3 linked regions of the Caenorhabditis elegans genome follow. The protein of the gene in region 1 purifies or fractionates together with the protein of each later gene. This does not show direct contact. Each region holds a gene or a part of one and is shown on either strand. Other genes may lie near its edges. The genes, in order: ddi-1, F41G3.6 and F21C10.7.

Region 1 (9,959 bases):
TCAGAAATCTCAGCAAGAACTTCTGAAACATATGGAGAAGCTGGAATCGGAGAACATATCCAGAATATTGAAACCAAAAAATATGAAAATGGAAAGAAAAACGTCCGGTGGCTCGCCGGAGAATAATGATAAATATAAAGTATGTTTAAAGACAAAAATAGTAGAGAAATATTAAAGGTGGAACGTCAGAAAAGAAAATAAAAACATTTTCTCCTTAATTGCCCTAATCATAATTTACTGTTTCAAAAATGATTAAAAAGGATTAAAGGACGATCCGTTCTTCAAGTGCTATGCATTGCGGATCTGGGATTCAGGTACACTGCCTGGTGGTGATCCCTCTGGGCTGTAATTTAAATTTAAAAAAAATTTAAAAAAAATTTAAAAATAAATAAATAAAAAATAAATAAAAAAAAATCAAATTACTAACTCTAACTCTAACTTGAAAGTTATTTGAAAATTCGATTTATAGTAAAAAGTACTGAAAACTCTCACCTACCATAAACCTACCATAAAATTAATTTTGAAATGTTGAAAGTTATTTCAGTGCGCCGATTGTGGGAAAATATTTCTGAATGAGAATTTCTTGACATCTCACTTTGAAAGACGACATCCCAAACCAATTGGACGATCTTCTTCGGATTAATTTGGACCGTTACTGGAAGATTTATGAGTTCTGATGCAATATTATGCATCAGTTTTCTTTTTTCTACCAATTGAGTAAATACCAGTTTCTATTGTTTTAGTCCCCAACTTAGGGTTTTCATGACGGCATAAAATGCCTATCCGCCTGCCTACGGTTACCTTTCAGGCGTATCAGCATTTTCAGAGTTCCACCATGCTTGTAGGCAGGCTGATAGGTTTTTTGTGCCTGTTACCCTTACCACACCTTCTATCATATTTTTTTCTTATCTCCTTCCCCTCTGCTTATCATGTTTGAATTCCCACCTTTTTCTTTGCATACGCAACAATTTTATATTCATTTTTCTCCGTTCCATGTCTCAACAAAATCGTACAATTTGGGTCAAATGTCGCCGTTCCGATTCTCTGTATTCTCTATATCTCTATTTCTCATCATCTCTCTCTCGCTTTCGCTTTTGATTTGATCTTCATTAATTATGCGAATTCGTATAAAATTTTTAACTTTTCTCATCGGTTTTCTGGTTATTCTCCCCCTTTTTTGCATTTTAATTGGCAATTTTTTGTCGGCTCATGGAGAAGATTATTTCGATGAGGAGTACGGTAGGTGTTTTTAGGGTTTGTAATAAATACAGTAGAGCAACACGAAATGTGTTATTTATTGTAAAAAATTTGAAACAGCAAATTAATTTATGGTACTTTTATCAAATCGCGTTTTTTTCAGAAGTTCTGAAACCGGTAAATCTTGAAAACTTGGAGCCAACCACAAAACTCGCTCAAAAGCCAAAACCTCAATTTGAAGGTGTCATCTCGAAATCAGTACTTATCGGTTACTCAAATGCAGATAAACTCACGATATTCTCTTCTTTTACTGGAGATGATGGAACTACAGTAATCTTATCGTCCTATGGGTATTTAAAGTAAGGGAAAACAGAATGAACATATTTTTTAAAGTGAAATGTCTTATGTGTAGATGGCTCAGATTTAGAATTTCGAATGAAAATCGTTTCATTTAAGATAGAGCCTTCAAAATAAGTCCCCAAAAACAATTTAGCGGCTGAGCAACACTTTGAATTGAAGAAAAAAAGACTATCTGAAGTTATGCAGTTTAGTTTTTTTCTACTGTTTCAGAGATCCTTAAAATTGCTCCAAAAAGTTGATTTGGCGCTTATGAATTTTACCGAGTTGGTGAACATTCTGGTAGCTTATTGGAGTTTTTTTTCGGAAAAAAACGTAATTTTTCACTCGAATCGTTCAAAAATGTTAAGTTTTATCTTTAAAATTTGTTTAGAAGACACACCACGTAGTTTCTAGGTTCAGAAAACATCTTAACAACAACATGAGAAGTGGAAAACAATTTTATAAGACAGTTGTTAAATTATTTATTTTGCTTTCAAAAAGTGCTCTTCTACCGCTAAATGTTTGATAGTGACCACATTTATACGTACTCTTTCAAATAAAATAGATTTCAGTTGAATGTCTGAATGTAAGCCGAAATCACTACTTTTTGCAATGTTTAAATATTAGGGGTCAAACGTTGGTCAAAGATCGGGTGACTACTCCTGAGCAGCAGCTCCATTAAGCTTAGTGAGCATTCCATATCTATAATTATTTTCAGCCGACGTGTCTACTGTCGTTTATTCGATGAAAATAGGCAGGAAATCTATCAGAAAGCCGTGGCAGTTTTCCCCGAATTAACAATAAAGTGCTCGGAGAGTTCCTCAGTAAAAGCCGAGTTCGTTGCTGTAACTATAAACAAAAAGGATGTTCCAGGGAATATGAAGCAGATTTACAAAGAAAAAGAAACAAAGAACAAATCAGAGTTTACTGTATGTCTTGCTCCACTTTATGGAGAATCTCCGAAAGTGTTGATGTTGATGGAATTTATTGAATATTATAAGTTGCAGGTTAGTGTCTTGGGGTTACGGTAGAGTAGTTATTTTTAGAAATAAAGTGCATTTCAGGGCGCTGACCATTTTCTAATTTACTCATTCAACATCTCAAAGGAAACTGAAAATGTTTTGGATTTCTATAGAAATTCCTCAAACCTTGAAGTAATACAAATGGGAAATGAAACTAAATGTCTAAATCGTCATAGATGCAGACATGAGATGCAGTTACAGGTTTGTTTCAATTATTTTAATTTAAAAATAAAATTAATTCAGGACTGTGTATTCCGAACTCAAAAGTACTCAAGCTGGGTGGCAACGGTTGATTTGGACGAAAGGATCATGATGATTGATGAGAAATCTACTCTTTTAGATTATATCAGGTTTTCATTTTGCTTACTTTTTTATCCAACTCTCTATATTGACAGAAATTGCAATGATCATAAAATCTCTGAACTACGTTTTCGTTGTCAATGGACTCTTCGATATTCTGAAATTTCTTCTGGTGCTCCTCAAATTGAGAATCTTCCAATGATTACTTGGCATAACACCAGCCACGTGGCACCGCAGAATCATACTACAAAATCGATTATTCGGTCCCGAAATGTTGACTCGATGGGTGTGCACGGAGTTCAAAAGTTCCGAAATCCGATCTATGGAGTCCGACTTGTGGAGCCAGAAATTGCAGTTGTCCGACACTATCGATTGATTAAAGGATGGAGTTTCTTTTTAAGAGAAGCCGAATCTTTTGGCAACTTTTTCCATTTTCAACTATCTCCTGGTTTATCTAGTCGTATTATTGAAAGGGTTGCAAAAATTATTGCGAAATTTTAGAACATTACGGGTTAATAAATGTTTTTGATTTGTTTTGTTTTCTGTATTTTGATGTATTTTTGAGAGAATAAAAATATTATACCAAACATTTTGCGTCGGAATACTGTAGCTTCTCGGAAAAATATTTTTGAAGCAAAAACATGTTAAGTTTTTTTTTCAAAATCGTGAATTTTTAACGACAGCAATAATAATTTATTTCGTAAAACACATATTTCCTCATTTACTGGCAGTTTCCAGCAAAAATTACAGTCATTTCACAATTTTAATTCAAAAATTCTCAGCGGGGCGCACTTTCATATCTGTTCCTTGTCATCGTTTTGCACCGTTTTCGTCCTTCATCACGAGAATTTCTCGAGTTTTAGACAAGTTTTTACACTTTTTTGAACAGCTGTTGTCGAGAAAGCTTATAAAGTTAAAGTTAAAATGTTCTACTTCACAAATTCTCAGGTTCCATTCTTTTAACTTTCGAATCTTTATTTGAAAGGACAAAAAGTTTCCCGAGAGAACGGTTTTGTGTAATTAATTTTTTCATCGATTAGATGCGTTTATGCTCTAGAGATGCAGCGTTTTCATTTACAAATACGCAAATGTTCTTCGATTTTTTCTCATTCTTCCTTTTTCAATCTCATTTCTCATTTATTCTTCTAATTTTCAGATGTCTTTCCAAGTGAGCGTAGCCGTTAACGATGGACCATTCCAAAAGAAAAGTGTTACACCAAACACAACTGTTAGTTTTAATACTTAAATGTAATCTTTTATTCAATTTTTTTGCAGATTGGTGATCTGAATAACGACGCAATACTGATTTGGAAAGATACTGCAATTGTCTACGATATTTCGGATGAATCGAAGAATTTTGGTCCAACAGTGACATTAGAGGTAAATCGAATTGTTAAAGAAAATCTTAATCATACTATAAGTTCAGCAACTTGGCGTCACTCAAATTTCAATGGTTTACATATATACCACTGCGTTCCCATGTCCGTCTGGAGATCTCCGATCGATCGTTCCAGCACAAGTCCGGCTCATCTCGCAATTCGCTTCAGCTGCGTCGAGTATTTTTAATGGACAATCGTCTTCCTCAGCACAGTCTGCTCAGAGAACACGGAGAGTTGAACAAGATGATGAAGGTGAAAAATCGATGTTCTCTCGGAAACTTTTGGATTCTCCTGCGACGTTCAAAGCGCTCTCAGAAAATATGTTCTTCCGTTTGAAAAACGAGCCACACAAATTGGGCTACGGTTTGCCGGAACTTGTTGAACGCTTTTTGGCGAAAAAAGATATGACTTACAGTGAGTAGCGCATTTTTTAAATCTTTATCTGACGCCTATCTAATTTTCAGAGGAATTCGAGCAAATGTTCCGTTCCTACGTCGAAGAAGAAGTTCACAAGGAAGAAATTATCAAAAACAATCCAAATTCAGCAGAAGCAAAAATGTTTTTGGAAGCGAAAAGAAATAAAGAACTGATTGATGAACAATATTTACACGTAAGTTTACAATAGAAGCCTGTAAATATATACAAATTGTTATAATTTCAGTCAATGACCCACCACCCAGAAGATATGATTGCCGTCACAATGCTCTACATCAATTTGACTATAAATGGTGTTCCAGTCAAAGCTTTCATTGATTCTGGAGCTCAAAAATCGATCATGTCAATGGCATGTGCTGAACGTTGTGGTCTTAATGGATTAATCGATAGACGGTTCCAGTCAATGGCCCGAGGAGTTGGTGGAACAGAGAAAATCGAGGGAAAGATTCATTTATGTGAGTCAAAAGTTTCCAACATTGATTCACATTCATTTTAATAAATGTTTTCAGGCGATGTGAAAGTTGAAGATGCTCACTTTTCATGCCCATTCGAGGTAATGGCTCGTCGTGAGATGGATCTTCTCATCGGGCTTAATGTGCTCCGTAAGCATGGGTGTTGTATTAATCTGAAAACTTCACGGTATGTTTCCCTCACGAAAATCTCGCGAAATCTAAATTTTTTTTTCTTTTTGAGATTGGAGTTTGGCAACGGAACAACAACTCCATTCCTTCAATCCAATGAAATTGATTCTCATCTGAAAGAGATTATGGCACTTCCTGAAGAAGAAATGCAATTCGAAGATGGATCCACATAGTTCCGCCCCTACAATTTATCCTTCAAATCTCCTTGTCTTTTCATCAAAAACATTTCAATGCCACTTTACTTGTATTTTCTTCACTGCAAATATTATACGGAATTCTTTTTTTTCTGCAAATACACTCTTTCTGTGCGTATCACTTCTTTTTTCTCCATGGAAACTACCACGAGTTGTTCCCATGGGAAATTCCCAGTAAATATCTCAAATATATATTTTTTTTTCATTTTCGCTGTCCATTTTGTTGCCACAGGCGTTTTTCAGGTTGTATAATAGATTTTGTAAATAGCAGCAATGTTCAAGCTGAAGAACGGACAAGAAATTCCGAAATTGGCTCTCGGGACATACGAAGCCAAAGGTGATCAGGTTTGGAATATTTTTTATTTTTGAACTTCGTTATTTTATTTTACCTTTTTTAGCTTTTCGCAGCTGTCGACGAAGCACTCAAAGTTGGATACCGTAGTTTCGACACAGCGAAGTACTATGAAAATGAAAAGGATTTGGGTTTAGCTCTTAAAGTATGAATTAACGAAATAAAACGCAAACATGCTTTTTTAGGAAAAAAAGAATCTGATAGAAAATATATCATTACCCAGACTCGCGTTTTGTGCCAAACATACGTTACGCGGTCTCGGCGCGGCAAATGTTTGCTAATTGCGAAAAGGTGTGCGCCTTTAGAGAGTACTGTAATTCCATTCTCTTCACGTTGCACCATGAATTATAATTGATTTTCGTAGTTTTTCTTAATTAAAGACACAACCATTTTTATCATTCGTGTGAAAATCAATAAAAATTCTGCAGAAACGAAAGCTTAAAATTTTTTACAGTACTCTTTAATGGAGCACATCTGTTTGTATTTAACAAAAATTGTCGTTTCGAGACCGCGTACAGTAGTTTTAGCGGAAATTTTGTCATCTGGGTTATACGCTAGATCGAAAATATTTTTTTGACAAACAACTTTCAGACTCTTCTCCCACGTCACAATATTTGTTCTGAGGATATCTACTTGACATCCAAAGTGTTTCCGTATTCAAGTAAAAATGCTGCTGAGCTAATCAGAAAAGATGTCAATGAATCACTGGAATTGTTAGATAGAAAGTAAGAAGAAATATCAAAATCTATTTAAATTTCCTATGAAAATTTCAGATATTTGGATTTGGTTCTTGTACACTACCCTCGTCCTCTTGACACTGAAGATCTTAATGAAAATAACAAAATGTATCGTAAAGATACGTGGATTGCACTGGAGAAGTTGCATGGTATTATTACAATCTTTATTGAAAAATTGGAAAAATTATCAATTATCCGTTTCCAGCCGAGGGAAAAATTCGCTCAATCGGAGTCTCAAACTACGAACCACATCACATTGAAGAGATGAGAAGTTACATCACAATTGAACCACAAGTCAATCAAATCGAATATCATCCTCACTTCCAGCGAAAAGTCCTCCGCGCCTACTGTAATAAAAACGAAATTCTTTTCCAAGTAAATATTCCCAGTAAAAAACTTTTTTAATCAACTTTTTTAGGCTTTCTCTCCTCTCGGGCGTGGGAACAAGACTCTACTGGGTGATTCAACGATGGAGCGCATTGCTTTGTGTCATAAGACAACAGTTGCTGTAAGTGAAGTGATGACGAATGATCATAATTCTAGTTTTATTACAGAATGTCATCTTGGCATGGATTATGAAAGGAAAATATGGTGTCGTTGCCAAGTCGGTCACTCCATCGAGAGTCGCAGAAAATTACACGGTGAATTTTGAAAAATTGAAAGTAAAAAAAAACTAGGAAAAAATATTCAGAAAATAAACCATAAAATGTAATTTTTATGAAATGTTGCTTATGTTGATGAAAAATTCTTCTGAAAGGAGGAAAAACGACCAAATTTTAAAGCTATTTTTTTAAAAAATCAGGTTTTTTTGTTGAAATATCGGAAAAACGAAAATGAAAACCTTCAATTTTCAGTCTCTTTCCTTGGAACTGTCTGATGATGAGTTCGAAAAGATTAACGGATTGAATCTGGAAACACCATACGTCGAGGACCGTGGATGGTTCGTGCTCTGATCATCTCACTTTCTCCTTCTAATTTATTCTCCTATTTATGTATATATTGTATATATACATTCCATTGAAACACCTTATGATTTTCAACACGTTTTATTCATGAACCATTATATTGTAACCTAGTTTCCAAAACTCGCGAGCTCAATAGCCAATGTGAACTCAGAAATAATCCGCAAATACGAACCAATTATTGAACCATTTCCCAAGATTAGGAATTGTTGCCTTTTAGCATTTGTTAAAGAATGTGCCAAATTCCAGACTAGAATAGCTCCAGAAGAAGCCGTAAAAATATTCAACATCCATGTTTTGAAAAGGTTAACAAATATAGCTTTATTCACAACATAAGGTTGCATGCAATCACTATTGAAAAACGGGAACAACCGCATTGAAAACACTTGACTATTTACTGAGCTCGTTCTTGCGATAACAGCGTGTGCTACAACAAAGGAAGTCAATAAAAGTTCTTTGAAAACAGAGATTTTTAAAATTTTGAACAATTACAATGATATGATTAATAGAACAGATGATTAAAACGGGAAATCCACAGGATGGGTTTTACAAGAAGAACAGCTTGTCACGGAGGTACCCATTTGCATCATCGTGAAGTGATTGGGCTGTCAAGAAAGCAAGTTTGTGGGCATATTGACACGGAGCTGGAACACGAACAGTTCCTTGCCAGTTGTAGTAGAGATGACACAATTTGAATGCAAGCTGAAAAATATAATTTGATGGAAATGACAGATCGAGTAGGTTTACCTGTTGATGCTTGTCCGGACCAAGACCAGTATCATCGTGGATGATATTGTAGGACACGGGTGTTACAGTTCCCTGGTTGACAAACTGCGGAACCAAGTAGAAGTCCATTCTCTCTGGGCGAGTGACAGTTGTGTCGACGACGGTTCCTGGTTGCGGATTGATGGCACTTTTAGACGACGATCCTTGCCTAAAAACTTTTCATTACCGACGTTAAAAACAGAATGCATACTTGAGAATACGCATATTCACACGTTTCGTGACAATGATGAATGCCAGTTTGATCTTCTCTTGAACTTTGTTGCTCAGCTCCGCAGCTTTGTCGGTCACGGCATCGCAAGCGTCACGGACCAACTTGACTTCGGTGTTCTTAATATACGGAATTTGTCCGTCTCCAGCACCATCTCTGTAGAGAATCAATCGGCTCGGCAAAGTTTTATCGTTATTGTCGTAATACTGCTTCAGAGACTCTGAAAATTTCTTATTAAGCCATTTATCCTCAAATTAATAATCTTACTTCGGACGAAGTGGGTCAAATTGTTTCCAAGCTGCGTTGGATTCTCATGAGGTCTTGTTTGAGAATAGAATTGCGTGAAGTCGTTGGAAGTTGTAGATACGCAAGCACCGACAGTTTTTCCCTTCAACGTCGAATCGTGGTACAGATCGTATCCGACGATCATTGTGCTCTTGAGCTGAAAATTAGATTTTGGTTTCAAACCAAATGCTGAACCGAACTAACCGGAATATTAACTTTCCATAGAGCTCCACCAGTCTTGCAGATCATTTGAAGAACAATCTTCAGAACAATAGAACCCAAGTTTTTGTTCTCTCCTCCATCCTTGGACTTTCCAGCCAACGTGCGCAAATTCACGCATTGATTGGGAATGGGACACTCGACGCAGAGATACTTCTTCAGACTGTCATATCTCGTCTTATTGTCGTCAGCCAGCATCACGACGAGCATATGAATTTCCTCCCCATCGACACTCTTGATGGCAGCCTTCAATCCTTCCAAGTAATCGTTGGGAGAGATGCCATTTATTTTGACACACATTGGCTCTCCTAGCTGCACTTGAAGTGTCCTACCAAGATTACGAGCCTCCGCTGAAAAAAAATTTGTTTAACAATTAAACAAGTGACAACTCACCAATGAACTTCTGCGCCAGCAGTCCTGAATTCCCCGAACCAGGTCCAATCACAATCCAGTTGGTCATGTTGGAACCACGATAAATGCCACATTCCTTGACACCGCGAGCCCACTCTGCTTGCTTTCCTTCGTATTGTCTCTTTCCTTGGAGAGGTTCAGACTTCAATACTCTAGCTTGAACATTCGCAAGATCTTGTCCGAGAGAAATCCCCCAGTACTGGAAGCACTCCATCATCGTTTGGTTTTGACTCAACTTGGTAATCAGTTTTCTTGTCTCGTCAAGTCTTTGCTGTGGAGACATACGAGTGTGCTTTGCAATTTCCTTCATCATCTTGAAGTCCTTGCGCATCTCATCCGTCAGTCCAGTCGGGAAGCACAATTCAGGAACGATATAATTGACCTGTGGAGGCTCTCCTGGTTGCTTTGGTTTTCCTTCGGAGATCTGAAACCGAGAAATATTCTCAATTCATAATAAAAACAAAAAGTTACGATGATGAATTGCTCGTCATC
Region 2 (9,433 bases), on another chromosome or scaffold:
CAACTTGCTTAGAATGCTCAACATGAATATGTTCTTCCATAGTCATCCAAGGCAATGTTCCAACTAAAAGTTCAACCAAAACATAAAAGATTGTTTCCAAATCCTCTTTACGACAAGAATCTCTTCCATAATGAGTAGCCAGTGGTGCATATCGAACAGTTCCCCTAAAACCATGAACAGACCATCTTGGATGTCTCAGTTGAGTTCCTCCATCATTCAAATATTTCCGGCACATTCCAAAATCGACCATCACAAGTTGATGTGGATTGTCGAGATTTATGCAAAAGTTGGCAGGTTTTATGTCACGATGAATGAATCTGAATTATTGAGTTAAAACACATTAATGATAATAAATGTTTTGTACCCAATGGAATGAAGTTGTTGGATGGCATTGATCATTTGAATTCCAATTTGAAGACCAGTTCGACGTGAAAACTTTCGATTCGGGCAGTTGGCACGAAGCTCGCTCAAATTCTTTCCGACAAGAGTCATAATAAGGAAATTGAATTTTTCCGCTTTCCCGCAAAAGAAGACACGACAGAAATAAGGTGAACGAATTGGGAGAAGGCTTCTGAAATTAGCTTTTGGTTGTATTGAGAAATATTCATAGAACCTGATACCTGAGAACAACAGCTTCCATTTTCAAATTTCTAGTTTCAGAGCTTCGGCTTTCAAGTTTCAGAGCAAATGGTAGAGTATTTATGTGATCGACCTGAAATGGAAACTACAATTAATTTCTGTGGGAAGCTTTTCAATTTTTGCTAACTTATTGAATGAAAAAGATGTATCATTCTTAAATTAAACTTCAAGGAATTTCAACATCCAATTCAAAAGTGATATAAATTTAATTTGTTCAATGTGTGCCCTATATTTATATTAAATCATGCAAATGTTCATTCCAATTTCACAAAAAATCATAACGTAACATTCAAGCAGAAACTTTAAAAAATTAGCTGAATCATCCAACTAATTCGATTAAAATATTATTTTCAAGTTTTTTCAGCTACAGAAGAGCTAGTGATCATAAAAAAAACACATATTTATTTTCACGAACACTTCTGTATCTGGAAATTTGAAGTCTTCTAGTTATCATGAATAGATAAATATAATATATGTTTAGAACTGCACATCAAGGAGAGCACTGCTTGTTGCTCCGTGTCGTTGTGAGCACCATGGTGACGTCAAAAAATAGATTGAGGGTGAGAAGACAGAAAAAGTGCACAAGCACTTTGCAAACAATATATAAATTTTCTAATGCGCGTATAATAATAATAATAATAAAACCCCGAAAAAATATTATGTAATACCTGATAGACAGCTCCAAATGCTCCTTTGGCGATAAACCGTACGACTTTATAGTCTAGAAGCCGATATCCTTTATCCAATTCAACGCCTTCAGAGACTTGATTCTCACTATTTTCTAAAGATTCGTGCGTGGCATTGACAATTGGAAAAGTTTGATGTTACCTTTACAAACCGTTCCCATGTTTCAACGGTGATAAATACACAAAATGAATAGAAATAATTACGAGACGGAAAATAAACATGATTATTTATCTTACGTTGTCTGTGGTAGAACTTTTCACGCACACTTAACAAAATATTTTTGAAATGTTCATAATTTTTACGTATAGGATCGTGATTTAAATTTTGAACAGAGGCTTTTTATGGTAGTTAATTCTGTGTTTCCGCTTTAATACCATCTTCCCTCGAGCTCAGCTTTTTCTTCTATAGATAATACCCCGAGTTCAGTCCAAACCTGTTACGCATAGAATATTCCTCTATTTATGAACTTTTGATAATTTTTTTTTCAACCAAGATATAAGCTTTCAAACTACGGTAATTCTAATATGGAAAATACTTTAGACCTCATTCCTAAATTGTCACATATTCTATGCCTTCTGCCTTTGATTTCTTCGTCTGAAATTTGGCAAGAAATCTGTTTACTAGTAAATTCATTTTCCAAATTTGTAGCTTTCTAGTCTAATTACACAGTCAGAAATCTGAAAATGAATCATACAATTTTCATAATATCAAAATGCAAAAACATTAAATTGTAGGTTTGGTTATCACTCAGAAAGATACACTTTTTTCGGATAAAACAATAATGTTTCTATTTCCATCTGCAATGAGTCAACTATTCAATTATCTAAACCACATTAGCATATCATAATGTATTGAAGATTAGAAACTAAACATAATAAGTAGATTACAGAACATATAATCTTATAGGACATCTGAAAATAATCTCACCTGCTACTTGGTCGAGTGACGTCAGTAATCCCCGTGTTTTAAGATTATAACTGATTTTCTCGATCTTCAGAATGCTCAGTCATATCAGAAAACTACGACTTCCTTCTCATCTGATTAGCTCTCAAGCATAAACATAAAAAGCTCCTTTTTTCTTCATTTGGGCTTCATTTTACCACCGAGATGCTCACACATCTGAAATTCTTGCTTCTAGTGAGCCTTTTTATCAACTTCGCCGTAAGCTCTGAAGACATCAAATGCGATGCAAAGTTCATTTCGAGAATCACGAAACTCTGTATTCACGGAATTACTGAAGATAGTAAGTTATTATTTTGAAGAATTGAAAGCTTGAGAACATCTAATGTCCTAAATTTAAAATTAAATTAATATCAAAAAACTTTCAGAACTTGTTCGTCTTCTCACAAGATGCTGCACATCTCACTGCTCCAAAGCTCATCTGAAAATGTTCTGCACCCTGAAACCTCACGAAGAAGAACCACATCACGAAATCTAAAAATCTAGAAACTATATTTTTTGTTGAATAAAGTAATTAGTTGACGAATAGTCGTTTTCTAATAGTAAGAGTGCTGCTAGAGGACTTCCAGTTAAGACCCGTTTTCGTGAATAATGCATCTACTGGGATTTCCACAGTAGTCAGGCAAGTCTTCATGACTACGTATTTTCCAACTTGGCACAAACGCCTGAGCTTGGTTTTCACCCAGAATAGATTACTAGATTATTATTTCTAATGTATAAACTAACTCAAAATAAATTCAAAATAAAAATAATATCAGCGATTTGCTCCGCCCATTTTTAAGCCAATCAGACGGAATTGGTAGAGATCGAAGATGCTGATTGGTTAGAAAGTGGGAATTTTGGAGGAATTTCAAATAGAGATTCTAACTAAAACTTTTAAAAAAATCGAGTTTTTTTGAGTTTGGATTTTTAAGACTATTCATGGTGCATCGAAGAAACATCCACATTTATGCTCCTCCACAATTTATAGTAGTCTCTTGTTTTCAGAAAAATCCTTGAACTGTCTGGAAGATATCCGATTCTTGTAAGCGTCATTGTATTTTCAGTGAATGGAACGTATAATTTTTCTTGTTTTTTGTATTTTAAAATAACTGTTCATCGAAAACAACTATCACCCACCTTAAATTACAGATTGTATCGATGGTATAAAAAGAATATCCCGAGAGCTATTTTGTTCATTTACATTTCTTTTCTTGCCCAAAAACAAATGTAAATTAATTTTCAGATAATGAAGCTTCTTCCTCTCATTGTGGTTTTTGCTCTTTTGGCAGTCATATCAGAATCATATTCTGGAAATGACTTCCAACCTCGTGACAATAAACATCATTCCTATCGTGTGAGTCATTCTGAATAAGTTGCATTTTTGTAAATGAATAATTTCAGTCATGTGGGGAATCGTTGAGCCGACGAGTTGCATTTCTGTGTAATGGTGGAGCTATTCAAACAGAAATACTAAGAGCTCTGGATTGTTGTTCCACTGGTTGTACGGACAAACAGATCTTTTCTTGGTGTGATTTTCGTAAGTTAACAAGGAAGGAGAAACAGAATTATTCAGGTTTAATTTTCAGAAATTTGAACAGGACACAAATAGTTTCTTTTCTACTTTGCCATGTTGAATAAAAACATTGTTTCATAACATTTTCCCATTCTTTCATTAACATTGGCTAGCCCACTCAGAATTCAGAACTTTTCACAGAAATTTATTTCAAATTGGCAATAGCAGTAAAATGCGCAATGATAACTGGCAAAATAGTCATGGGATTATGAGTGAATGGATGAAAAGGATACCGTTCAAAATATAGCACACGAAATGATTGAAAGCCGGATGGGAGAAATAAGTACATAAATAATATGAAATTAGTGCCCTATCTTTTAAGATTGAACACCTCATTGACCAAATTGCTGAGCTCATCTTTCTGGTGCAATTCTGGAACTTGTTCGTGCGCGTCAGACGTCAAATCGAGAATGATCATTTTCACTTGCTTGCAGTACATTTGATCGCCCAGCTACAAAAAATATTATTGTTGATCAAGAATTTAAGTTATAATATACCTTAAACTCTGGAAGATTAGCGACAACTTCAGATCTCTGGCATAAACACATCAGAATTTCAACTGTCAGTCTCATTACAAGTGGCTCATCCTCTGTGATGCTCCACAGCGTGCGAACAGCGTCCGCCATTGTTGCAATGTCGTCTGGAGCGAAAATACAAAAACTTTAATGATGAATTCTTAACATTATATCTTACTTGAAAGTTGGAAGAAAATTGCAGCGAGAGCATCGATTAAATCATAACGTGATCCCGACGAATAGATACGACGAACAAATTTCTGGGCATCTGGAGATGCGGCGACTTCGTCAGAATCACTGAAGACGCGAAGAATAGCTGAAATTAGTTTTGATTTTGGAAATCTACAAGTGATAAAACAATATTACCAAACAGGACATTGGCTCTCTCATCGATTGAAAGTTGGTCCAGGGAGCATTGTGAGAGATATCGTAGCAAAAGACAGGTCTGTGTGATTCCGACACCTGTGTTCCAGTCGCCACCTCGAGGATCAGTTGGGAGAGTGGGTCTGTAACTTAGAAACTGCGAAGTTTATACTTAAATTATTCTTACTTGTCGCGAATGGAAACCGCCTCTCCTCGTGGGACCAGTTGTGATGGATGGCACCGAATTGCTGTTCCGAGCCAGGCAATAATATCATCATGTGTCACTTCTAGAGACAGCTCTCCGGCAAGTCGAACCATCGTTGTGTACATAGCTGAGAATGTATTTTTTAACTTAATTTCAATGAAATAATATTACCAATTGCAAGATCATTATCCGGGTGACAGAGAAGCCACATTCCGACGTGACTATCGGAATCAAGTTCGAGATTTGCTTCTTTTCTCTTCTTGTGTTCTTCGTCTCGAGCTTGTTGATAAACCATGATGTCCCTGCTCTCTGTGAAGAGTCCCTCTGCAATAAAAAAACTTTGAATCTAAAAACTTCATATCAAACGCACTGTTTCTATTGAAAGTTCCAAAGTATCGCATTTCGATCTGAAATGGAGAATTAAAATTTGAAAAAAATGCCAAAAAATGAGATACGATTCGATCGAACGAATTGGTGGATCCAAACAATATGAAAATCGATCGAGAAACAACAATTTATAACAGAAAACATATTTAAACGAGCAACAAAATTAAATAATCAAACAACGTTTTGAAGAGACTCCACGAATTTGTGTCGGCGTTCGGCGGTAATTTGACACATTTTCTGAATATGAATTAAGTTAGTGATCGTAAAACTACATAACAATAAAATACCTTTAAAAGGGAGAAAGAAGAAAACTGTCCTCGTTCACGAACCATAACCATGTGATCATCTTTTCCAACAATTACAGAACAAGTTGCTCGACACACTGATATTGCTTCTAATGTTGGAGACAAGAGGAGAACTTCAGACTTTTTGTCTGAATTAACGTCAACGAAAATACCGAATGAACAGCACATCAAAGGTTCTTCGAGCGTCAATCGATGCATTGTTCGGTAATCTGCTTGAATTTGTGTTTTTTCAATTGTCGATTCGTCGCCCTCGGAATGGTTTAATACAATCGACGGGAGCTTTGCATCTACAAGAGCGGCACCGAGAGCGCACTGAAAAATTTTAAAATTATGTTTAAAAAAACAAAATCTTTTGTAAATACCACAGCTGCATCCAAAAAGTTTCCCTCGAGACTGAGCACTTTAACAATGATATGAAGTTGCCATTCCAGAGGCAAAGGTTTGCCACAGACATCCAAACATCGCAAATTTTCGCGTCGAACGAAACAATTATTTGTGAATAACGAAAGCAAGACACTGTTGCAGTCCTCTGCGTCTTTCTATAATTTATATGAATACAAGTAAATAAATGTTCAGTAGCTAACCTCTGATAGCTGCTGAGAACCTTCAATTTTGATATCCACCAGGGGTGCATCACTAACGAGTGAAACTGAAGCTTGAATTGAACACGAAACAGTCACTCCTTGGGTACTGACGACAGATGAACCAACACCGCCACATTCTCCTTGCTGAAAAATTGAAAAGTTTACATAGAATTGAATCGTGAGAAAAATTACCTTAAAAACAAGTTTTTGTTCATCAAGAAGACCACGTCCGTCAGGATAGACTCCTTCTTTGATAAAAGTTGCAAAGTATCCACGTGGATCAATGCCTCGAAGTACTTCTGATGACATTGTTGATTAGCCAATTCTTCTTATTTTACCGGCAAAATCAACGCGCTGCAAAAAACAAATTCTTTATAAGAAATAAAGTTAGGTGTGCACTAGGGCGAGTTTGCTTGGGAGACCTCGCAACAATTTTCGCAGACACCGGAGAATTGAATCCACAAAATCTCCGATCGTAGAACGGCAAAAAATAAGAGTTTCTTTTTTCTTGGAGAAATATATGGTGAAAACTCAACGCTTTTTATTTTTATTCAACACACCATCTAATTATTATTAATTTTATTGTTCAAGAACGAGCAAAAAAGAAAGTTAACAACAAAAACAACAACTTTAACAAGGGAAGTTTATTTAATTTTTATCAAATCTGACTTGTTCGGCAAATTTAGCAATCATAAGCGCCGCCGTGACGTGCACATTCAAACTTCGAGTATGCCCAACTTGTTTGATTTCCACAGTTTGATCAACTGCGCGTAGTAGATTCACCGGAACTCCTTCTTTTTCATCGCCCATAACAATCACAGCCTGAAAATAAAACATTATTTATTCGTTTTTCTTAAAATACAGCTTAATACCTTCTTTGGGAATACAAAATCATGCATCATCACACTATCAGTCGTCTGTTCAGCTGCGATCACTGTGTATCCGTTGGCTCGAAGATTTTGAAGATATGGGAGCAAGTTTGTTCGTTTAACCCCTTCGATTTTCTGCCAATTCTCTGAGCTCATGCTCAATGCTTTGAAGTTCGCATCCTGGGCGACGAGAACATCGGCAACGACAAGTGTGTCAACTCCAAAAATTTCAGACGTTCTACAGATTCCACCAAGGTTGTTCGGTTTATCCACTAAAGAAGCCACAACAATCAGTGAAATTCCACCGTCGTTCAGCTCGTTTTCCTTGACGATTTTCCGTTGGAACGAAGTTGATGCATTGGTATTTTCAGGTTGTTCATCGAATTCAATTGGAGATTCTTCTTCACCAACATCCTCATTCTCCATGCTCGGAGCACAACTGGCATTCTTCGACAGTGCAGAATAGACTTCTGAAGGAGCAGAAAGAAATTCTTGATCTTCATTCATAGATTTAATTTGATGTGTGATGTTGTTCATCTCCATGATAATATTATTTGGAATTGTTTCTTCGGGAGGCATTCCAGTACGTTTCGCAATTTCTGAGAGGATTGTCTGGAAGTTGAAATGATCATTGATATGCAATTTTGCAAAGTAGAAATCGGAACATAGATTATCAATGACTCTTTTCGAATTTCCAGACGGTTCCGCGTCAAAATTCACAATTGCTTTGACAATTCTCCACTTCTTCCGACGATCCTTATCAAACGTCGAGAACATGAGACGAGCTGCAGCTAGAGCTGTACATCTAACAGGGAAATTTTGAGCAGTGCACCATACAATCACTTTATCCAGACATGAATCTACAAATTTCGGTGCCACGCGAGCGATTAAATTTAGGACATTGAGCCATGAGCAAATTGAGCCAATTCTTTGGGAAGCCATATTTTTCTGGAAATTGGTGGTTTCCAAAAGAATAAAATTCAAAAAATACCTCAAACTCTTCATCGATGAGTTTTTCGAATAACTTTTCAAATTTAACGCAGAGCATCGCCAATGTCCATTCAACAATTAATTTGATCGAAAATTGTTGGCATGGATCCACGACACAATTGATGCAGAAATCAAAAACTTTCGAAGCAGATTCCTGAAAATTGAGATTATTTTTTTGAGAAGTAAAAGAAAAACGTACTTGATCTTCAATTTTCAGAGCCAATAAATGCAGCAATTCTACTGCCCTCGTCTTCTGTCGATGAGCCATTGATAGACCAAACGATCGGCTTGAACTTTGATCCATGATGGCGGATGCTTTAAAGATCTCTTCAATTAGTGCGATTCGCCAGGCGTTGCCATCAACTACCGTTGATAATTTTAATGCTAACAAAACAGCTTTGAATCTTGCTGTTTGAACGACTTCATCGAGTCTCTCAACTTGATCCTTCTTTAAATATGAGCCTTCTTCTTCGAAAATCATAGAATATGCGTATGAAATAACTCTTGATTCTTTCTTCGGAACAGGCCCAAATAAAGCAAGCTTCACAATAAATGGCGCCCAATTTACATCTAAATTTGTTTGATACTTTGTAATGGCATCTACAAGAATCAGAGCAATCGGAGTACTTTGGCTGGCAACTGCTAACTGAGCTTCCAATAATTCGATTGATTCTTGAGCAATAACTGGATCACTTTGAGGGCCACTCAGAGCCACATGGAAAAATGATCGAAGAGCTGGAAGACTGTTCAGTGACTTTTTCTCCTCATTCACAATGCTTGCAGATGCTCGAATACAATCCAGAGCCAACTTGTGATCTGTACATTTCTTGATAAATCTTGCAATTAGTAGGCATAATTGTTGTTTAACTGGGAAAGCTGAAGCCACATCAAGTTGTTCCACACATTCAGAAAGAAATTGATTTTCGTCAACATCTTTTATAAATCTATAATTTTTTTAATCAGTTTCAATTTCAGAGCATCAACATACTTATTGAGCAGGGACAATCGAAGAGAATGAAGTGTTGCAGAAATCTGATTGAACTCCTTTGTTTCATATTCCTCTACCGATCTATAATTTAAAAAATATGATTTTCTTCGATTTCATTTTGAATACTTACTTTTTCATCCTTTTCATTCCGATAACTTCATTTCCTCCGAGATACTTGTAAAACTCAATTGCCAATGTTTCGTAGCGCTCTTCTGGAACATTTTCGACAAGAGCGTTGAAGAATGTGAGGCATACTGTAGCTGATTCGCATGTTTTCAAATCTCCTAATACTTGAACAACTGCTAGAGCAAATGGTATGCTCAGGTGGGAACAGTACTTATTGAAAAGTGGAATGTGAAGCGATTGTAGTAGCTCCAGCTCTCGTT
Region 3 (10,419 bases), on another chromosome or scaffold:
TTATGTTCTCAAATATTTACTTCACATCTCTGAACCCATGTCACAGAAGCAAGCTCATTGAAACAGAAACATTATAAATTAGAAATTTTTTAATTAATTGCGAAATTGAGGAAGTCAATTTTTTATAACAACCCAATCAAAACTTCATCATCATTATTTTGTGATCAAGTGGCAAACTGTCACTCTTTTCTTTTTTCTAGTAAACACCGAGTGTAGATTGTTTGGATTTTCAAATCTTCTTCTCCACAGTAGTTAGTTGAAAAGTAAGAAAGTTAAATAGAAAGAGGCGGAGTGTCCACGAGTCTATTTGCGTTGATTCATTTTGGCAACCGATCATTGAGTATATAAGTGAAAAGGTCGTCGAAAAAGAACAGAAGTTTCACGAATCATGCAGTTTTTAACGATTTTATCAGTTTGCGTTCTTGCGGTAGCCGCTCAGCAACAATGTGAGTTAAAATTCAATTTTTTATGATTCGAACTAACTCAGAATTAAACTAACTTTAGAAAAACGTTAGAATAATTTTAGACGATAACAATGGACAGACATTCACTACGAATCAATTTGCAGCCGCGTATTCTACGAATCAACAATATCAACCTTCCCAAGGTGCTCAATATGATCAATATGGATCTAGCACTCTTCAATACAACAACGGAGCAACCGCTCAACCAATTCAATATAACCAAAATCAACAATATGGTTCCACGGCTCAGTACAATCAAAATCAAATGCAAAATCAGCAAAACTCGAATCAATATTCAACGACATCAAACATGAACAACCAGCAAAACTCTAATCAGTATCAGCAAGGACAACAAAATAATTACGGAACACAAGCACAATATGACGCTGGACAAAATCAAATGGGACAATCTGGACAAGTGCAAGGATATTCCAATAATGGATATTCTAATCAAAATTCCCAAATGAGCCAGAGTCAAGCTAGCAGTGGAAGTAGCAGTGTCTCCCTTATGGATTATTCTTTCAACAATGGAAACTGTCAGTATAAGGATGGACAAGTGATTGAAAATGGACAGACTAGACAAGCCACTCAACAAGAACTTCAACAAATTCAACAATACAGAAACAGCGTTGATCAATACATGAACCAAGTAAACGGATATGTAAGAATTTAAAATGTTATTTAGTCGTCTAATTTTTCGATTATAGGTTGGCCAATGGATTAACTCAGTCTTCCAAACTCTTCCATCAGTCAACAATTCTTTCCCAAATATCCCAACAATGCCAACCATGCCAACGGTACAAATATCTCATTGAGCCCAAATCTTAACATTTTATCTTTACAGGCTCCATGTTTGTGTAACGCTCAAAATTGTGGAAACACTACAAACACCAATGCCATTGGAAATACCCCACAACGTGATGCTTATGGAAACCAAATGGGATCAAACTCACAATTCCAGCAAGCAAATCAAAATGGACAATACCAAAATACTCAATACCAGCAACAAAATGGTCAAAATGGTCAAAATCAATTCCAACAGTCGAATGGCCAGAACCAAAACTCCCAATATCAGCAGACCAGCAACCAACAAATGAACAATCAACAATATCAAACTGGAGATTATCAACAGACCAACACCCAATCAATGGGATCACCTAATACAGGAACACAACAGTCGAATAATCAACAAATGAATGCACAGCAAACTCAGCAACAGCAACAGTATTATGGAAGAAAGAAGTAATAATGTTGATGCTCATATTGTTCCATTTTAATATTCTTGCCTCAATTGTTTCAATAAAATGTTCCATATACAAGAAAAATCACTTTATTCCAAAAATATTTAGCAATTCTTTTAGAGTTTTTTAAACTTTCAGAACACAAATGCAAATCATATTTGACAAAAATTAAAAATTAATTTCCTATGATAACTTAGATACAAACCATGTGGAAAATTTTGTGTTTATTATGTTTTCTAGATTTTTGTTGTTTCCGTTTTATGTTAATAGCCTACATATGTTTTTGCGGAAAGCATAAAACTTGTAGTGTGAAAACAAAACGTGAAAATTTAGAAAAACTCTGATTGCTACCCGAATACTTCGAAAATTTCACACAAATATTCGAAAAATAACTTGAATATCCTTTTGTATGTGTGTTGTTGCAATAAATCTTCCCGATTGGAAATGCCTGCAGAAGCAGCATCCGAAAACGTGGCACTGGACAAAAATCTGAAGAAGCTGATCTCTTGGCTAACTCCGTCGAGATGTGTTCCCATACGTTGTAATGGGCGGATAAGAAACAACCGACGGACGGGTCCCACGACCACACACACCATACTCACCAACACCGCCATCACCAACAATTGGCGCCTTCAATGTGTCTAGAGTACATCTGTTCTTAATTTTTCTTCGACTCTTTTTTTCGATACCAGACGGATAATTTTGAATGGTTGTTTCAAACAAAGAGAATTCAAATTTTTTTGAGTGATAATTTTGAATTTTCATTAGTTACCATTGCTAATTCTTCAATAAAAATTACCTGGCGTTCCGTTCACACAGTTGAATAAAAACTTTTTTCAAATTTCAAGTAGGAAATTATCATTCATTGTAATTGGTTTTTAGATACTCATTCATTCAACAGTGCGTTTTTACAAGTTTAACGCTAGTTGATTTCCTGAAACTTCTGATTTTGATCTGAGAAAAACAAGTTTTTAATAAATTTTAATCCTTCCCCTTTCAATCATTTTTATCAATTTTTTATCAATATACACGAGATTCAATTAACTGATCACTTTTTCTCGGCTTTCTTCTGTTCCCACAATGATCTGATGCTCCTGCTCCATTTTGTTCTCTATCCATCACCTCTTCCTTCGCCTCTCCGCCCGCATTTTTGTGTTGTTGTTCTCTCTATCTCTCCTTTCCTGCTTCATCCCACTTCTTGATGTGCTTTGGCTCAATGTTTTACACTCTTCCTTCCGAAGCAAGAGGAAGATGAGAGAGGATCCCCAGTCAGAACGTGTGTAATAGTAGGAGAGCACCACAGAAAGTTGGACAACCTTAGGAGTGGGCGGCACTTTTTATACTAATTTTTTGTACTTACTTATTTTTATGCTTGGATATTATTTTTCTTGGAGTATTGTATGTAAACTAAATTAACTATACTCCAAGTTTTACAAAGAGACACCTATTTTGAAGTCCGACTAAAAGAAAACGTATGTCTAAATTTTAAACATATTTTGATAAGTCAGAACAAGCGGTTTTTTGTTTTTCACCCTGCTCCCTTCTCTTCCAAATTTTGCCATCAACAATTGCCAATTGTTTGGAAAGCCATCCCAGTTTTCAGCGTTCTTGCTTGATCCATCATCCTTTCTTTCTCCGGTTTTCAGTTTTTGAAATCTTTTAAAATGTCAGATTACCGTATTTTTGTTAGTAATATTGCCCCGGGGTGCTAAACTCTGAGATTATATTACCTGTTGACACTGGATCTTGCATATTTCTCCAAATTTAACAATCTCGCTCAAATCATGTTAATTTTTTTTCAGTAACCAATAAATTTTCCAATATTTCAGAAAGATCACAATACCATCATAAAATGGCGCCAGGAGGGGCGCCGAATGACGCCAACCTCAGCGCTGTAGCGCAAAGAGGACATAGTGAAGAGGGTGATAAATCAACAACAACACTATCAACAATTGCTGTAAAAGCTGGTGTCAATGCATCAATTGTAGTTGCACTTTTAAAGGTTGAAACTATTTTTATTAATTTTTTAAACCTAAATTCTTTAGAGTGCTGGTTATATCCAACTTCGTGTTGATGAAATGCAGCCGAAGCTACTTTCGATAGGAAATTCATCACAAGAAGCTAGAGATTTGCTCAACATCCATGATGATCTCATCAGAAGGCTTCAAGTGAGTTTCTGTCAAAAGTTGTATTATAATATATTTCTACTGTTCAGGACAAAGATGACCAGGTAGTAGCTCTCTTGAGTCGTGCCGACAGCCTCGGAGCAGAAAAGACGAATCCGAACGAAGCGATTGTTTACGACGAAATGGCGAAGAGTTTGCGGGAGGTTTGTATGCATTTCGGTTTTTTTAGTATTCTTACCCAGCTGCACATAAATCAGCCCATTAATCTGCGTAGTGTAGGAATCCAGACGGAATGCGTTTTCATGTTTTTAGTCTTCAGTACGACCTTAAAAATGTCGCATCTTCAGACGTGGAGATCGTTGAACAGACAACTTCTCCTCAGAGGATATATGCTCAGAGAGACTGTACAGTTTTATACATTGGCTGAAAGTCATGAAAAGGTTAGTTGATTTTTGAAACCGTTTTTTATTGTGATTTTATTAACTGCAGTTATCCAATGCTAAAACTATTGAAATTGTGCAACAAATCAACGAGCAAAACTCTCAACAACTTCAATCATCCATCGATAAGCTTATTAATGGTAAGCTTTGATTTTATAATAAGAAAAAATAAATCTGAAATTTCAGACATCATTGACACAACTGCTTCTGTAGTAGATTTGGGATCTTCCGTCATTTCACAAATTCGTACATTGGGACAACTTGATGACAATCCAGAGAGACCACAAGAGATTTTAGATGCATCAGTAAAAATTGAAAGTGTTATGTTGAGGTAAGCAACTTTTTAAAACCTAGGAATATAGTTCTGCAACTTTTTTTAAAGATCTAAAATTATAACATTTTATTTAAAAAGTAAAATTGAAGAGTTGCTGCTGATTGGGAACGATCCGAAGGACTTTGGCAGCAGCGAAAGTCGGGAGCAACACAACAAAATGCTACAACTACAACAGAAGATGAACTCGTTGTTATTGAACAATGGCTAACTTATGCGGAAAAGAAAGTCAAAGCTCTCAACGATGCTGGACAGAAAAATGTTCTTACTGAAGGAAATGTGGGTTCAATTTTATGTACCTGAAAAAGCAATTACACATTTCAGAAGCATGTATCCCGTCTTCGTCACCTAGCGCAGAGTCCATCATCAGACGGGGGACGTATTTCTCATCTTTCCGGTAGAATTGAGGAATTCCTTCATTATCTGAAAACCCGAATGAATCGATCACATCGAATTCACGCTTTCCTTCAAGCCGCAAAATCGATGGTATCTCAGTTGAATATGATGGTTGAAGACATGAAATGCGCAAATGCGGCTATGGCTGGAGAGCTAGCACCTTTGGCAAAGCAGAAAGCATCTCCTCTTATCCACGAAGGAAAGGATATCGCTTGTAAGTTTTCTAAAAATAATTAACAGGTCAATTATCAATAAAAAGAATCGGTAAAAATTATTCTTGCAGCAAAAGAAGTTCTGAGCTACGAAGAACAACGACTTGTCAAGCAATACGTTGAAGATTTGTCAGAAAAGTTGCGTGAGATAGAAGCTCTTGCAAAGCAAAGGAAAGAGTCTGGAAAGACGACTTCTCATGTACGTTACCATTAATTTATAATAACTTCAAAGGTTATAATTTCCAGTTCTCAAACATCCAATCATGGCTGGATGGACAAGCTTCTGCATTCTTAGCACAGAAAGGTGATATGGGTGGAAATTTGAATGATGCTCGTGATTTCGTTGTCTCTCATAAACAATTTGCAACTGAAATCGTCAACCGAGACGCTGACGTTATGAGTCTTCTCGCCAAGAAGCCACAAATGTCTCCAGATGAAGAACAACAACTGACCGATTTTATGAAGAAGTATGAAAAAATAAAAGACATTTCGGAGAACCGAATTCAAATTGGCTCCACTTACGAGCAAGTTCACAAGTTTGGAAAAGACCTTGAAGGTTCATTTGATGCTCTTCAAACACTTTTGGAGAACAATCAAGAATATACAAATGAGAAAGTGGCGGCACAAATTTCCAACGTGTTCCAGATGATTTTAGAAACTTTGAGTCAAGAGAAACATCAAGGTTTGTTACCATAATTTGGTTGGTATTTTTAAAACGTAATCTTTCAGCTGAAAAGTTCATATCAAATGCAACTCAAATCGGAAAATCAGACGAGTGGTTGAATATCCAAAGAGCTCAAGAAGCAGTTCGCAATATGATTACCGACCATGAGAACAGATTCAAATACGTTCAACACAAATGGACTGAGTGGCAGAGAGATAAGGTAAATCGATAAAATGTAGGATTTGCAAAAGTAATTTAAAAATTTAGAATGTACAAACCAAAGTTGAAACTGTAATCGAAGAGATTCAAATGTGGCAGACAGATGTTTTAGAGTTTATTGGAAAGGTCGATAACTCAACGGTCACAAAGAAAGAGGTATTGAATAATTTTTCACTGTAATTTGGTAGATTATTTATTGCTTCAGGAAGTTGAGGAGATTCAGAAGAGGATTGCTTCATTCAAAAGTGCTGCTGATATGCATAAATCAACATTAGAGACATTGAAAGAAGAAAACCAAAATGAAGAACAAATCAGTAGAATCAACGTTTTAATTGATAAAACTGATTACGTCAAAACACGGCTTGATCAGTTGAGCCAGAAAGTTGAACTTACCTCTTTGCTCAAAATTGTGGAAGATGTGCAAATATGGCAAGAAGAAATGGTTGAAATAATAAGAAACATGAATCAAGTTGTCACTACTCAATCCAACAACCAAGAGCAGTTCGAGCAAGTAAGGCGAAAAATTGAAGATTTGAAAGTTGAAGTCGACAAGAAGAGCGAACATTTGGAAGCATGCAAAACACTTTCGCATAGTTAGTTTAAATTTTAAAACATTCAGAAAAAGATTTCAATTTTTAGATGAGACATTCCAAACTCAGCTGCATAAAACAATTGAGAATCAAGAACAAATCCGTCGTACTACTATCGAACTTCAAGAGAAGTTGGAAGTATCAAAGTTGGTTCGGGTGGTGCAAGAGATTCAGATGTGGCAAGAAGAAGCTATTGAGATTATCCGAATGTTGGACAGAACTCAGCCGGCAAGCATTCAAGAAGCCAATGAACTGATTGACAGAGTTCATGATTTGCAACAGACCATCGAACACAAGTCAGCTAGAATTCAAGAAGTCAAAAAAATGTCTCAAGGTTTGTTTGCAACGGTTGCGCTGTTTTTTCTTGAATGCATTTGAAAAACTTTATTTTTTTTTTCAGTTCCCGAATTTGTGCACAAAATGGAAGAGGTAGAGCACGTTCAAGAACAACTCAAACATCTGACAGTTGAATTGGAAGAAAAGTTGGAGCAACAGAAACTCGTGAAAGTAACAGAACATATCCAAATGTGGCAAGAAGAAATGATTGAAATTATCAAGATGTTTGATAGTACGCCAATGAAAACTGTTCAGGTAATAAATTTTTAAAATTTTTCTCACTGTTTACTAATTTTAGGAGAGCCAGGAATTGCAAGAGAAAGTAAAGCTCGTGAAAGAAGCTATTGAAGTTCAGCAGCCAAAAATTGAGGATGTTGTGGCAAAAGCTAGAGATATTGCAGTGAAGACACAAATTTCAAGAGCTGTTGAAAAACAAAAAGTTATCAGGGAAATGGCCGAAACATTGGAGCGTAAGGCTATTTCTGCAACTTTCGAACTTTCAAAACCACAGCAAACGATTGAAGAGACTAAAACTATCGAGCTCACCAGCCTTGAACAAACTCAAATAACATTGACTCCTGAAGAGAAGCAAGAACTTCAGATTCTGAAGAAAATTGTGGAAGAGATCCAAATGTGGCAAGAAGAAACTATCGAAATAATTCAGTTGGTTGATAAGACTCCAAAAACAGTCCAAGAATCAGAGACTAAAATCAAAAAAGTCAATGAAATTCAGCAAACAGTTGTTGCTCAGACACGAAGACTCGAGGATGCATCAAGATTTAGAAAAGATGAAACATTTACAAAAACAGTACAGGAAACCATGACCAAGCAACAACAAGTTCAACAACTAGTGAAGGAGCTTCATGAGAGAGTAAGCTCATAAAAAAATAAAAATAAACACTTTGAAATTAATTTTGCAGGCTGCTTCTCAAAACATTGTTGTCCGAAAACAGGAGGAGGAACGTAGTCGAGTTCAGGCTCCACAGATTATCACTCAACTAAAAGATGATGTAGTGAGTTACTCGAAATCCATTGGAATTTAGCTTTAATAATACAATTTTTTTCTAAAAACTTCAATTAAATATTTTTCTAATTTTAGGTTGACGAAGGTTGTCGATATGAATTCTCAGCAAGAATCAATGGAGAGCCAGAACCAACAATTTCATGGTTGAAGGATGGAATTGATGTGAAGAGCAATATGGATTACCGTCAGGAATATGTGAATGGAGTTGCAACTCTTGTTATCGAAGAAAGTTTCATTGAGGACACTGCTGAGTATACTGTAAAAGCAACCAATACAGGTGGAACCGCATCCAGCAGTGCTAGTCTAATTGTAAAATGTGAGTTTTACTCAAGTTGAGCATTATTATTATTGAACGTTTGATTTTACAGCTAGAAGTGCAATGTCATCTGCGATTCTGGAAGAAGACAAACCAAGATTCGTGAAACAAATGCAAAGTGTTCAAGTGAATGAAGGGGAAACAGCTCGTCTCGACTGTGTAGTTGTTGGAAAACCAGAACCAGAGATCACTTGGTTCAAAGAAGAAACTGCAGTAAAAGAAAGCGAACGAGTTCATTTAACATTCTCAGGGGATCATTGTCAAATGATCATCGATAAAACTGTTCCCCTAGACACTGGAATTTACACAGTCCGTGCGAAAAATGTACATGGAGAAGTAGCAAACTTCTGTCAACTACGAGTTGTTCCAAAGAAGCAACCACCTCCGCAAACCCCTCCAAAACCAAGAACTCCAATTCAAAGACCACCGGTTATTCAACCAGCACTTACAAATACCACGTGGCAAGAGGGAGAAACTGCGACACTTCAAGTATTCTCATATGGTGAACCCAAACCAAGAGTTCACTGGAAATTTAACGATTCGCCTGTTCAAACTTCGAGCCAAGTGCAGATTTCAGAGCAAGAAGATGGTTGGTCTAGACTCACGATTCAGCAAATTTCTCCTGTTAATGCTGGAATGTACACTGTAGTAGCTGAGAATGAGATTGGAGAAGCTGTTACTGGAGCGACTGTACATGTTCAGCCTTCCCTTAAACGAGTTGTCACAACGGAACACCATCTTCAGGAAGATATGAATGAACAAATTGGTCAACCAGTTCAGCAAACCATCATTACTAAAAAGAGTCAGGAGTTGGAAACAAGAGAAAAAACAGATTTCCCACAACCAAGAGAACCTGAAAAAATTGTTGATGAGAAGAGATGGGTTGAACTAGTTGAACAACATTTTGAGGAACATCTGTCCCAAAGATCTATTTCTCCAGTTCCGCAAATCAGAGAAGTACGCAAAACTGAATCACAGCAGAGATGGATTGATACAATTGATGAAATCTGGTCACCAATGAGGGAAGTAGATATTACTGAAACTAGAACAGTATCAGGAATGGATCAATACAGTTCACATAATGTTCATGAACCATCTCCAAGGCCAGTTGGATATCATACAACCACAACTACCACTAACATTTCACACATCGGACAGTCACATGAGCCAGTTCAACCAGTTATGGGAAGATCAACTTCTTCAAACGAAACAGTTAAAACTATGAATATTGCTACAATCCGACAATCACCACAACGAGAAGTTTATGAAGCAAGAACAACTCCAGGACCAACCTCAGAACATGTTGCAACAATCAGAAAAACTCCAGTGAGAGAAACCCATCAGTCATCCATTACAAAGGCACCATCATTAGAAAATGTTGCCAAGATTAGACAATCTCCGGTACCAGAATCTCATATATCTACTCTCACGAGGAGAAGCCCATCAGTCGAAAATATTGCTAAGTATCAACAAGCTGCACAACCAGAAACTCACAGAGCAACAACTACTGGATCACAGCCTGTTGCTAATATCGCACAAGTACACAATCCATCTCAACCGGAGCGTCAAGTTTTCACTAAAGAAACACCAAAAATTGATAGAATCGACGATATTCTGGCAACACCTCACGAGGAGAAAGTTACAAAAGTTGTTAAGCAGACAGAAGTTATTACAAGCGATGTTGATGTTAGTTTTGTTTAACTTTCCAAATATCTAAACAAATTATTACAGAAAAACTATCAAGAACAACAACAGAAGCAACAACAAGTCACGAGCACAGTTACTGAAACAACTTCTGGAGAAGGATGGGTTCAACATCAACATCAAGACTTTGTAGAACCACACAAATCGACTATTACTGTTAAGAAACTGGATATTGAAGAACAACAAAATATCAATCAACAAAGGGTTTGTTTCTTCATAACCTCCATATAAGTAACAAATGTAGAGTTTTTCTTTCAGTTTGCTCAACCAGAACAGAAGCATATTACAACAGAAAAGATTGAAGAAGACCTTCACAGAGAATCCCGAATTCCTGTCAAACGAGAACCACAGACAAC

Evidence for each region.
Region 2: the proteins of ddi-1 (region 1) and F41G3.6 fractionate together in Caenorhabditis elegans (co-fractionation; one large-scale study listed by BioGRID). This does not show direct contact.
Region 3: the proteins of ddi-1 (region 1) and F21C10.7 fractionate together in Caenorhabditis elegans (co-fractionation; one large-scale study listed by BioGRID). This does not show direct contact.

The regions. Positions count from the first base shown.
Region 1 is NC_003282.8:6,518,860-6,528,818, forward strand, and holds ddi-1 (Protein DDI1 homolog 1), read left to right. Parts: upstream 1-4,007; 5' UTR 4,008-4,014; coding exon 4,015-4,086; intron 4,087-4,133; coding exon 4,134-4,238; intron 4,239-4,284; coding exon 4,285-4,651; intron 4,652-4,701; coding exon 4,702-4,847; intron 4,848-4,898; coding exon 4,899-5,127; intron 5,128-5,181; coding exon 5,182-5,311; intron 5,312-5,365; coding exon 5,366-5,486; 3' UTR 5,487-5,712; downstream 5,713-9,959. Other genes in the region: dzpr-1 (C2H2-type domain-containing protein), read left to right, coding at 5-139, 545-643; gtnt-2 (Glycosyltransferase family 92 protein), read left to right, coding at 1,116-1,239, 1,361-1,556, 2,255-2,543, 2,601-2,759, 2,802-2,908, 2,954-3,359; C01G5.5 (NADP-dependent oxidoreductase domain-containing protein), read left to right, coding at 5,781-5,852, 5,906-6,004, 6,451-6,584, 6,633-6,745, 6,802-6,971, 7,015-7,104, 7,151-7,237, 7,451-7,549. UniProt on the Caenorhabditis elegans protein: Aspartic protease. Required for the cleavage and activation of transcription factors such as isoform a of the transcription factor skn-1, which in turn regulates the expression of proteasomal subunits such as rpt-3.
Region 2 is NC_003280.10:6,738,812-6,748,244, reverse strand, and holds F41G3.6 (DUF2013 domain-containing protein), read right to left. Parts: upstream 5,332-9,433; 5' UTR 5,326-5,331; coding exon 5,295-5,325; intron 5,249-5,294; coding exon 5,096-5,248; intron 5,052-5,095; coding exon 4,907-5,051; intron 4,863-4,906; coding exon 4,723-4,862; intron 4,673-4,722; coding exon 4,535-4,672; intron 4,482-4,534; coding exon 4,339-4,481; intron 4,293-4,338; coding exon 4,152-4,292; 3' UTR 3,978-4,151; downstream 1-3,977. Other genes in the region: F41G3.5 (non-specific serine/threonine protein kinase), read right to left, coding at 1-317, 365-571, 621-712, 1,308-1,420, 1,468-1,486; ins-14 (INSulin related), read left to right, coding at 2,434-2,569, 2,655-2,764; ins-15 (INSulin related), read left to right, coding at 3,515-3,622, 3,670-3,906; exos-8 (Ribosomal RNA-processing protein 43), read right to left, coding at 5,483-5,548, 5,599-5,928, 5,979-6,155, 6,201-6,344, 6,393-6,509; T14B4.1 (tRNA/rRNA methyltransferase SpoU type domain-containing protein), read right to left, coding at 6,849-7,022, 7,073-8,017, 8,061-8,213, 8,259-9,003, 9,048-9,128, 9,178-9,433.
Region 3 is NC_003283.11:9,109,233-9,119,651, forward strand, and holds the start of F21C10.7 (Ig-like domain-containing protein), read left to right. Parts: upstream 1-3,534; 5' UTR 3,535-3,557; coding exon 3,558-3,707; intron 3,708-3,750; coding exon 3,751-3,873; intron 3,874-3,920; coding exon 3,921-4,034; intron 4,035-4,178; coding exon 4,179-4,271; intron 4,272-4,320; coding exon 4,321-4,411; intron 4,412-4,457; coding exon 4,458-4,602; intron 4,603-4,694; coding exon 4,695-4,881; intron 4,882-4,926; coding exon 4,927-5,212; intron 5,213-5,281; coding exon 5,282-5,409; intron 5,410-5,456; coding exon 5,457-5,892; intron 5,893-5,939; coding exon 5,940-6,094; intron 6,095-6,141; coding exon 6,142-6,249; intron 6,250-6,298; coding exon 6,299-6,686; intron 6,687-6,732; coding exon 6,733-7,017; intron 7,018-7,083; coding exon 7,084-7,274; intron 7,275-7,317; coding exon 7,318-7,890; intron 7,891-7,939; coding exon 7,940-8,032; intron 8,033-8,118; coding exon 8,119-8,359; intron 8,360-8,411; coding exon 8,412-10,045; intron 10,046-10,090; and 3 more. Other genes in the region: pqn-31 (Prion-like-(Q/N-rich)-domain-bearing protein), read left to right, coding at 389-446, 527-1,125, 1,172-1,261, 1,309-1,710.